2 linked regions of the Coturnix japonica genome follow. The protein of the gene in region 1 interacts with the protein of each later gene in a pairwise test. Links are inferred from orthologs where the notes say so. Each region holds a gene or a part of one and is shown on either strand. Other genes may lie near its edges.

Region 1 (5,416 bases):
TAAAAATTATAATGAGTATTAGAAATTAAACCAGTCTCCCTTTAAGTCATTCCAGATAATACAGACACGGCTTGAAGATTCCTCCAAAAGCACTAATCTAAATAGACCTTCTGAGCTTTTTCCCCCAGCTATAATTATTCCTTCTGAATACTGCCTGTAACCCCAAACAGAATGTGAAGAGCAGGGGTTGCTGATGTTGCTGAACTTTTCCATCTAGATAAATCTCTTTCTTTTTCACCGTTTAGCATCTTACCTGTGGCATAATTTATCCCTTGAGTTAAGAAGTGTCATTTATTTTGATCATTTTTATTCCACAGTGCGCAGTGACTATTAGGCATACAGGTATCCGATATTAGCAATAGCTTATTCCATTACTTTGTATTGTCATCTTCATTTGTTACAAGATATTTCATGAGCCATTTAATTCTGCATTTGCAAATGTGGAAAGTGCTGAAGTAGATTAAAAAAAAAAAAAAAAAAGATGGAGAGGATTTAATAGCCTAAATCTACCCCAAAAGACTCCTTGGAATGCACCAGAAATACACATTAAAGGAAGTGTTCTCAAAACCAGCTGTGGTATTCACATGAAACTAAAAATGTCCCCACTGACAGCAAAGCCAAGGATGAAGTGCCTCAACACTTTACTCACCATCCAGATTATTTTGGTCAACTTGTAGAAATTGATGCACGTGGAGATCTGATAGCATTCCTGCCCAGGAATGCTAAGCAAAAAAAGATAATGGTAAAAGAAAAATGAATGAATCTTTCTTTCCTAAGGATACATATCGGGATACATATCCTTGGGAAAAAAAATGGGTTTAAGGATCTCAGATCCATCCCTTGCTTATTGTTTCTTCTTATCAAAGAAGAATTCACCAGAGCTGGTATATCTGAATTATTACTAAGTCTGGTGCACACAAAGCCCAGAACAAACTAGGGGATACATGAAGATACATGGAAATGATCAGCTCACAGAGCTGGGAGTTTTCCAGGACAACACATTCTGTACTTAACCTCCGCTCCCACTTCACAGAATCACAGCATCACAGAATCGTAGGGGCTGGAAGAAACCTCCAGAGATCATCAAGTCCAACCCCCCTGCCAAAGCAGGTTCCCTACACCACGTCACACAAGTAGGTATTCAGGCGGGTCTTGAATATCTCCAGAGAAGGAGACTCCACCACCTCCCTGGGCAGCCTGTTCCAGTGCTCCGTCACCTGCACTATAAAGTTCTTGTGCCCATCCATGTGTAACTTCCTATGCTCCAGTTTCTGGCCGTTTCTCCTTGTCCTGTTTCCACACACTGCTGAAAAGAGTCTGGCCTCGCCGCTTTGCCTCCCACACCTCAGGTATTTATAGACCTGGATCAAGTCCCCTCTCAGTCTTCTTTTCTCAAGGCTAAACAGTTTGCTTAGTCTCTCCTCATAGGGGAGATGCTCCAGGCCCTTCACCATCTTTGTGGCCCTCCGCTGGACTCTTTCCGAGAGATCCCTGTCTTTTTTGTACTGGGGAGCCCAGAACTGGACACAGTCTTCCAGATCATGGTCTGTTTGAGTTTGTGTTTGCCTTACAGGTTGTGTTGCAAAACAGACCCCAAAGCTGTGTGTTTCCCACACAGCAGTAGATGATACATCACAGCACAGGAAGAAGTAGGAACTGCAGGAGGGAGAACAAGTCATTCCTCAGCTCCAGATAGGAACAGGGCTCCTGACCGGGAGCAGCGCTGTCACACAACACCAAGTCTGCTGAGAAATGACTGACAGGAAACGGTAGGAGAGATGGCAGATGAGCTCTGCTCGTGACAATTATTGATAAGCGATACATGTCAAAGTCTCGTATCCTCGGCTTTGTCTGCAGAGCTCCCAGTTGCCCTGGACACAAGGTGACATCTCAGTCACCAAGGCCATCGCCCATCGCTGTGACGCTGTGCCTACAACTCCCAGCTGCCCGCTGCGGCGCACGCGCATCGAGGCGCTCGTCCTTCCCTGTGCCCCCCCCCATCCCGCGGCCTAACTCCGAGTCGGCAGCGGCAAGATGGCGCTCACCAGGTGCGTCCCTCTGTCCCCCCGCTCCGTCCTCGTCGCTGTTGGTGTCTGGGGAAGCGCTGGGTGCTCGGCCCGGCGAGCGGCCCCTCCTGGGTGCGGGCCCACGGTCGCTGAGCAGCCCGGGGTGCGGTGTGCTGAGGGCCGGGCCTGCGGGAGCTGCCTGCGCTGCTCGCTTTGTGCGGCCTAGAGCGCGATGGGGCCTCCGCACCGCTGCGTGCTGCGGGGAGCTAACGCGGGTTTTGTGAGGGGAAGGATTGGTGCTGGTGGGATACCTGGTCGCTTTCCGGCTTTTCCTTCCCGTGAGGGATGTCTTTGTTACGAGCTGCTGCTCCGAGAGCGCGGCTCCGCGGCCTGCCCGGCTGTACCGAGCGGGGACGTGAACGCCGCCCGGCAGCGCGGGGGTGGCGGTGTGCAGTGCGCCGGGTCCGGACGGGGGAGTTGGAGTGTGTGGCTTTAGACCGGGGGTGTCCGGCTGGGGAGAACCACTCACGGGTTCGTCTGTGGGAATTCGCCTTTTTCAGAGCTGTTTTTTTATGTGTCTTTTTGGTGCCTGTCTGGGGACGTGCAGTTTTTTGCCAGCTCCAACCCAGTTGTCCCAAGACCAGCTCGAGCTAGAAGAAAGAGCGAGGGCGCAGAGATCCAGGCAGACTGCTCTGGTCTCATCACGAAGGGAGCCTCCCCCATACGGCTACCGGAAAGGATGGATACCGCGGACGTTAGAGGTAGGTGTTTAAACTCACCATATTATATTAGTACATCTGTGTTAGTGGGTAAAGTGTGTCTTTCCAGAGTAGAGTCAAACTATGAAGTTTCTTGAGATAATCACAGAGAATCGTGCAGGTTTACATGCAGAATTTCCAAGTTTCTTGTCATGGTAACGTGGGAATACGACTGTGGTCCTTTCTGTTTAAGGTCTGAATGTAGTGACCCTCTGAGAATGACACCCATACCAACCCTCTGTCATTATTTGTTAAATACATATCTGGATTAGAGGTGAAATAAGTAGATGGGTGTATAGCAGAGAAGAGAATACTTCTCATGTGTACTGTGTTCTTAAGGTAGCAAAAGGTAACTGCTCTTGGGGGGTGTTAAGTGATAGAAACTTGTTAGATGTGGGAGTGCTAGATAAGGTGACTTAAAGCAGTAGTTCCAGTGGTTCTCTAAAGTAAAATACTTTTATGGAATTTCAGCATTTAATAAAGGATGTGGTATTAAAATTTATAGTTCAGCTTTCTCCTTACAGTGCTCATTACTAAAGCTACTGTTCGAGTGCTTGTTCTAAATGCTGTGGGGGGGGGGGAACCTGACTTAACTTAGTTCTATTGGTTTCCAGTATCACTGGGCCAGAAAATGCAGCACATCTCAAAGACTTCTAGAAGATTCCCTTTTTGCCTCATAGACAAAACCAAAGAATAGTAATTGCTTGCAAGTATAGGCTTCATCTGCTTATCTACTCATAATTGAAAAACAGCATCTATTCTTAATAGATTTGGTCATGTAGAAAAACCTGAGAGATGGCTGAATTTAGTTCTGCATTATATTTCAGCACTGATTCTGTATCTAACTGTTGAACTGGATGCGGGGCATCCAATGGAAGACTTTAAACAACCGAAGTTGAATTTCAGTGTGCACTTGAGGCAAGCATGAATATGTGCTGCTCTGGAAAGAAGTGTTCTGCCCGATGATTCCAGTCTCAGCCCATGCTGTCTGTTGTAGTGGTGTTAACTGTTTGGTCTCATGGTGAATACGTGGGGATCAAGCTACCCAAGTCACCTGGTTTGCTGTTGGGCAAAATCAAAGCCATTGCAGCATGGTGAAAGGGCACAGTAGTGTTGATTAGAGAAAATGCTTCCCCTGGGGTTTTGAAACCATAGCCTGAAATTGGTTTAGCGATTGTGTGCCAGTTCTGTTTGCATCTTCAGTACTGAGTCACAATGGTCTGCTTAAAGAGGTCTTCCATTTATTCTGCTCCTTAAATAGTTTTAAAGCAAGAAATTGAACAAGAGGAAAAGTAAACTGTTAGGAACACGAAGCTATTGGTTGCTTGTCCTGTTTTCAAGTTGTGTCAAAATAAGGAAATCGATATCTTGGCATTTGTACCATTGTAAAGCTGTGAGCTGCAGGCTTGAGAGGGCTGGAAAGCTTTATAAATTTCTTCACCTAATTATGGTAGGATAACTAAAATTACAAGAATAGCAGTTTTGTGATGAAAATCTCTAGTGGTTAATTTTTGTGTATTTCAGCGGTTGCTTTATTGCTGCAGATAAATTCTAGAAGTTGTAATTAATAACCTGCATGTGAATTAAATACTTGATCATTTACCGCCTGTCATGCTGTAGTGCCTGCACATCCAGCCAGTGATAAAAGAAGTTTCTCTGTGAAAGGAATAATTGTAGAGAGTTTCCTGCAGGATGTCTTTGTATTTCCATTTCACAAGTGTAAGCTGTAGTCAGCTGTTCTCTTACAAGCCAGAACAGTAATGCTGCTAGAGCATTTCTAGCAGTGTTTCATGTTAAAATCAGTCCACTCTTTTGTTCCATTTCCACCCATGCAAATGTTATGACCTGGTCTAGTACCTGATCTGGAGGGTGGTGGGCCCTGCCTGTGGGTTGGAACTTGATGATCCGTAGGGTCCCTCCCAACCTAAGCCTTTATACAATTCTGTAGTTATACCATGTTTTTGTCTTTCAGTCATTCTCTACCTTTTTGTGTGTGTGTAGGATTTTGGAGATGGAGGTGCTTTTCCAGAAATTCACGTGGCCCAATATCCATTGGATATGGGCCGAAAGAAGAAAATGTCCAATGCTTTGGCTGTTCAAGTGGATGCAGAAGGAAAAATAAAATACGACGCAATTGCTCGACAAGGACAATCAAAGGACAAGGTAATGCTTTTTTCTAAGACGTGGATTGTGACACACACCTGGAGAAGTCACACGTTGCATGTACTTGTGGTCATTGCTTTGGCATTAGATAAATTAAATGAATTACCTCCTTGAAATATGTTCCTGTTTTCCTTAAAGTTAAGAGCTGAAATGATGTCAGACAGATGTGAGCATTTAGACTAGTAGCATAGGATGAGCAAGAATTTTGTTGCCACGCGTGTGATCCTGTTTTGCAATTAAAAAGATGAGATAGAGATGATGAGAGTCTCTAAGGAAAACGTAATTGATGGCATAACAGCTTTCATTAGAGGGCTTTCCTGTGAAAGCAAGAAGTTGAAAGCGGGCCTGGTCACAGATAATGCTATTTCAATACAGAAAGAAAAGGGGCTAAGAAGTCAGAAAACACAGGTTTAGCTTTCAGAATACTGAAATGCATCTTGTGGTTTCCTACTTTAGTATTTGTGACTCCTTCCTCTTCATCTGTTGTGG
Region 2 (5,644 bases), on another chromosome or scaffold:
ACTTGGACATTCTGACAGCTACATAACACTCCTACCAAGCATCTGCTTTTGATATAAGCTACATTTGCTGCTTTCTGAAGAGCACAACTTCAAGTCATCACACACAACAGAAAAAGGTGTTAGGAAACTAAAGAAAGGCAGGCTATATTTTGATGAAGCCCAAGTAGTATGAGAGAAAAAAGTAGGACCCCAGTTGTACTGATGCTCTTTGCCTTTGTAAGCTTTCCACCCATCCCCTTAAAACATACACAACAAAGAAGGCCTTGGCATTAACTGTGATGTACTGATGCATGCTTTTAGAATCTCAGGACAGCCACAGTCTACTTACACACTTTTACGTTATTACAGAAATAAATAATGCATAACATAATCATGCCCCTGCATTCTGAGGGACTTAAATACAAGTCTACCATCACCAATACTGCATAACCATCTAATTTGAAAGTAGCTTTGGACAGCAGCCAGTTTCATATCTAACCAAACAGTGAGCTGTAAATCTAACTGGCATCTCAAAAGCAACTCAAAAGTACTAAGCAAAGCAGACAAGCTCTTTTTCAAGCTAACCTTCCAAGCCACGTTGTCCTACAAATCATCAGGATGCCAATAAGTGAATTCCCGTACAGCAACCTTGGCTCAGGCAGGTTGGCAGCCCTATATTAGCATCCCCACAGACAAAGGCTCACAGGATGATTTCTTAGCTGAACACAGCCTATAGAAACAACTCTTTATCACTTCACCTCCTAGAGGAGACAAATAACAACCGAAAGCATCAACATACAACATGATGTAGTATTTCACTGAGAGTCAGGAGCTAATTCATGTAACTTGAGATAAAAAAACAATGCATTTCTAAACCATAACGTTCAGTAAGGTTTGAAATCAATTTCATTTCACAAAAATAAGCATGGAAGTGAAATAACCAGCAGGTTCACCTGGGGAGACAATTTCTACTTCAGTCTATGTGTCTCAAATGGAAACAACAGAAAAAATGTGGCACAATTACCCTGAGAGGTACAAGATGCAAACCAGCATGTGAACAGATAGGACAAATCTGGGGTAAAGTCTACAGTTCTCCAAGGACTCCAACTGAAGGGTTTGATGAGATGGAGCCTCAGTGCAATGGCAGGACAGCCCCCACTACCACCAGGATGATCCGAATGGCAGATATTGTGTACACACAGGTGGGTTTGCAAAACAGGGTCCAGCTCTAAGGATGGCACGTACACTCATCAAAGGGATAAAACTGTGGGGGTTACAGGTAGGAAATTCTGCCACAATCACAGATAAAGGAGCACAAGGGAGAAGCTGGCCGGAAAGTTGTGCAAGATCTGACAGTTGCAGCAGAAAAGCCTGTACTTTCAACAGCCTCTATTAGGAAGTTCCCACGCTCAGAGCCCATTTACCTATGGAATGAACAGGGCCGCGATATGGGATGCTTCATAACATTAAACAAATTAAAGTATATCCAAATTTACAACACCAAGCAAGACAGGAAATTTTGCTGTGTGTCTGTGCATGACATGGCTTTATGCTATTGATGTCTCTAGATGTAGCGGAGAGGAACAGAACAAGATTTAAGGAGACTGCAATGTCTGTATTCTAAAAAGGCTGCATGAAGTCCAAGTTGAGAAGCAAGAAAAAGAAAGCACCCCTCTTCCTGGCAGCAATTCCCCTGCCTTCCCCAGGAACAATACAATGTAACCTAAGGTGCAACCTCTTCAAACTGCACCTTGCTATATGGCAAGTCCTGTATGCAAAATGCCTCCCAACGTGCTTGGGAAAAGCAAGAAGTTATATAAACAGCAAAGATAAACTCCTCCTGTGACAACATGCTTCATGCATCTGCCGAAGGTTTACAAGTTCTAATGAAGACCAGATTCCTCCCCAGCATCACAGGGAAGCAAGAGGAGCAATGTTCTGCCTTGTGTTGTACAACTATAGAGACCTCAGATTGTTCCCAGAATTGTTTGCCTCCCAGGTTTTGACTTAATTACAACAGGACATGCACACACAAAGCAAAGAATGAATCATTGCTCATCCTGCTATTTTCTTTTTTCTTTTTGGTTTTTGCTTTTTTTTTGTTGTTCCCAAATCTCTTCGAGCCTCTGAGATGTTGTTGTAGCTCTAAAAGAACAAGCAGCAGCTGCCTTCCAGACATTTCCCACCTGAAGGACTAAATTCATGAGGCCCACAGCCAACCAAGGTGTCACCTGTGACTGAGCCACCCTGGCACTGCCCCACATTCAGGCTCCAGCTCAGTGAGGTCACACCAGTCTCCTCACCTTCCCCATGTTGTCTCATCCCACCTACCAATGGGTTTGCTGATTTTCTTCTCCCTTTGGCAAAACCCTATTGCTCCTTCTTCCCAGGACTGTTTCTGACTCCCTTATCTTTTGTGTAGCAACTCTACTTCCAAGGGCTCACGATGCCAACACATTTGTTCCTTCCAGTATTTGCACTGCCAGAATCAAGTCAGTTCCAAGTAGCATTAACCAGAGAACCACAGAACCATTTGAGTTGGAAGGGACCTCTAAGGGTCATCTAATCCAACTCCCTTGCAATGAACAGGGAGGTTCAGCCTGCATTTGGTTAGTAAGAGCACAAACATTTAATTCAAAACAATTCACCTCCTCTGCTTATGCTTATTTTGCTTTTATGATGTTAAACAGAGTCCATCCGACACACAGGATGCAGGAAGTGAGGGCGTTCACAGGTTCAGCTGAATTGATACAAATCCATTTGCGTTTACTTTCCCTTTGACACAGTGTATTTTGATGTTACTTCAAATCCACATCCAACCCACACCAGCAACACCAAAGACCGACAGCACATGGATCACATTGACCAAATACAACCACACACGTCTACATTTTAAGCAGCATCAGATCCTTTGCAAACAAGGCAAGGCCTACATCAGCTCAAAAGCAGCGCATGGTTTGCCTGCATAGAAACAGTCACCAAAATAACCGGAGCAGGAGCAGCCAAGTGAGTCCCACGGGATGCGCTATATGGGCAATGAGCGGCCCCCCATAGGGAGCACTAAGAGGGTGCCTGCAGGTCCGGACAAGGCACAACCACCCCCAGCATGGGCTGTGCTTGAGGCAGCGATGATTTTGTATAAGAAAAACGCGTGTTGTCAGGGCCCCAAGCTCAGGGCTCAGGCCCGTCCCTCCCCGCCGTCCTCACCTCCTTCAGCTGCTCCATCTCGGCACGGATGGTCTCATACTCCAGCTCCAGCTCCTCGTATTGCTGCTTCAGCTGCTGCTTCTCCTCCAGCACAGCCAACCCATATTCCGCCGCTTGAATCTTCTCTCGTGTGGTCTCACCCAGCTCTTGGAAAAGCCTCTTGATCTCATTCCTCAGCCACTCGGGTTCCGACTCCATCACCAGCCGGGCGTACTCCTCCTCCTCCATACCCAGCGACATGTCGGCGGTGCTGGGGGGCACCGCAGCCGGAAAGGCGAATCGAGCGGCCCCCTTACCCCGCTCACTAACAACGCCTCGGCCCGATCCCGGCCACGGTCCCCCCTGTGGCGGCCATCCACGGTGTGAGCGCTGCGGAGCCGCCCCTCGCACGACGCCGCCACCGCCGCCAAACTCGCCTTGTGAGCGCCGACCGCAGTGAAATCATTCAAAGGGAACGGCCGGCCCGGCGTCGCGATGCACGCTGGGAGATGTAGTCCGGATGGTGATGCCACCCCGCTGGGAGAGCAGCTCGCAGGACTACGTTACCCATAATGCACCGCCCGCGGGGTGGGGAGGTGGGGTAGAGAGGAGCGGAGCAGAGCGGCCTCTGCAGGGCTCGGAGCGGCCGCGCCCTGTTGGGCTGCGACTGGAGCGGGGGGCTGAAGGCCTCACATCACCCCTCTACATTCATAATAAACACTGGGTTTTTCTTCTGCCTCGTATATTCTCAGCCCTCATTGTGCTCAGGCTTTACGCTGTAAATCAGGACTCAAATCAAATCAGGACTCAAATCAGGACCCAGCTTTTTGTCCTTCCTCAGAAGCTGTAATTTGCTTGTAACAACTCATTCTTATCCAACCTAAACCTCTCCTGGTGCAACCTGAGGCTATTTCCCCTCATCACCAGTGAAAAGTAAAGCCAAGGTTTGGCAGTAGGTTTCACTCTTTGCTATTGTTCTAAACTGCTCAAGACATCCAGCATTAACTGTAAATATCACTGTTACAAAATTATTTCTGACCAGCCCAGGAAGAAGAGCAGGTTGTCAAAGCGGAGGCTCTTGTGATCATTCAAGGTAATGATGTAGCGTAACAAAAATCTGTAATGACTGAATGAGCACAGCCCGGCCTGTGCCCATGGCCTCCTCTGGGTGCAGCCAGAGGTCACAGCCTATTTCATTATCAGTTATATTCATTATCAGTTCACTGTCTCTAAATTCCATCAGTGCAAAGATGCCGATGAAGGAAGGCTGTGCAGGAGGTAGGGAAGAATGGGAATAACATCTCAGGTTGTTTCCTGAGGTGGGTGATGATCACAGACAATCATACAAGGCTGGTCACAATTCAGCCTGTCCACAAGCTTTGTGTATGGACTAGTAACAAATTACCATTATCTCCTAATTCTTCCCATTTTCTATTTATGAAAAAAAATGACTTTAGCAAAAAAAGAAAATACTCTGGGACATGGATCAATGTTCATATGTGGTGCAGTGATGACCTTTCTTAACCAAAAGACATTTCAAAACAAGAACCTGAAAGTGACTGAAAGCTTCAGATATTCACTGGCAGCTGATAAGCTGAGAAGCAGGTGAACTGCTGGCAGAAAGCTGCCGGAGGGAATGTGTGCATGCAGGGAACAAGCAGAGGAATTACAGATGCTTATCGCAAAATGGAATTCTTAGGATGTCTCAGCATAAGGAGAAAAAAATGCGACTTAGCTTTCAAGATTTGATAGAATTCCTTGGCTGGGTGTGGGGAGCACAGCACACACACACTGCCTGCTGCCTGACCCAAGTGTTGAGATGCCCAGGCCTATCAGTGCTGGACTTTTGCTGGGAGCTGAAGAGGAGGGATGGATGGAGGGTCCAAGTAACGACATGTCTGGCACACCATCTGCCAGGTGTAGCAGGGACCAGATGCTCAGTTTACTTCCTTATTCTGCCATGATGGAACAAGCCTGAGAGGAAGGGAGATTTTTTTCCCCAAAATGTTTCACTTTTTCTTCTTTTACTGCAAGCCTGAACCACCCCTCACAACCACCTACAGCTTCTCATGACCATGAGGCGTAGCTCTTACTTTACCAGGCCTGTAGGTCTGTGCCTACATCAGCCCAAACAGCTACTCTATCTCTTCCCAACTCACCTGTGGGAAAGGACCATGTTTGTGTTTCACCTCACTGCCTGTCTGGAGGAAAACCTTCCCTTTTAAACCACGTCTGTATGCCTGATTGACAAGCAGTAAATGAGCTGCCATTGCTCCGTCTCTCTTGATGAAGTAAACACACCTGTGTCTGGATTTAAGCCAAACCCATTTTCTTTAAGATAAATCATCCAGGCACATGTTTAAACTGAAGCAAAACAAGAATCCACTCAGTCATGTACTGGTATAACTACAACAGAAAAAAACCAACACTGCAGTGCTATTTCTCTTTTCCCCTCCATCTTCATGTTGTAACTTGAGAG

Evidence for each region. The genes of interacting proteins can lie anywhere in the genome.
Region 2: the proteins of SNW1 (region 1) and BICD2 interact in binary tests that used the Homo sapiens proteins (3 or more experiments, as listed by UniProt). The link is inferred for Coturnix japonica from reciprocal best matches to the Homo sapiens genes SNW1 and BICD2.

What each region holds. Positions count from the first base shown.
Region 1 is NC_029520.1:35,702,347-35,707,762, reverse strand, and holds the start of SNW1 (SNW domain-containing protein 1), read left to right. Parts: upstream 1-1,929; 5' UTR 1,930-2,034; coding exon 2,035-2,048; intron 2,049-2,613; coding exon 2,614-2,767; intron 2,768-4,765; coding exon 4,766-4,927; intron 4,928-5,416. UniProt on the Homo sapiens protein: Involved in pre-mRNA splicing as component of the spliceosome. As a component of the minor spliceosome, involved in the splicing of U12-type introns in pre-mRNAs.
Region 2 is NC_029527.1:4,891,912-4,897,555, forward strand, and holds the start of BICD2 (protein bicaudal D homolog 2), read right to left. Parts: upstream 3,427-5,644; coding exon 3,187-3,426; intron 1-3,186. UniProt on the Homo sapiens protein: Acts as an adapter protein linking the dynein motor complex to various cargos and converts dynein from a non-processive to a highly processive motor in the presence of dynactin.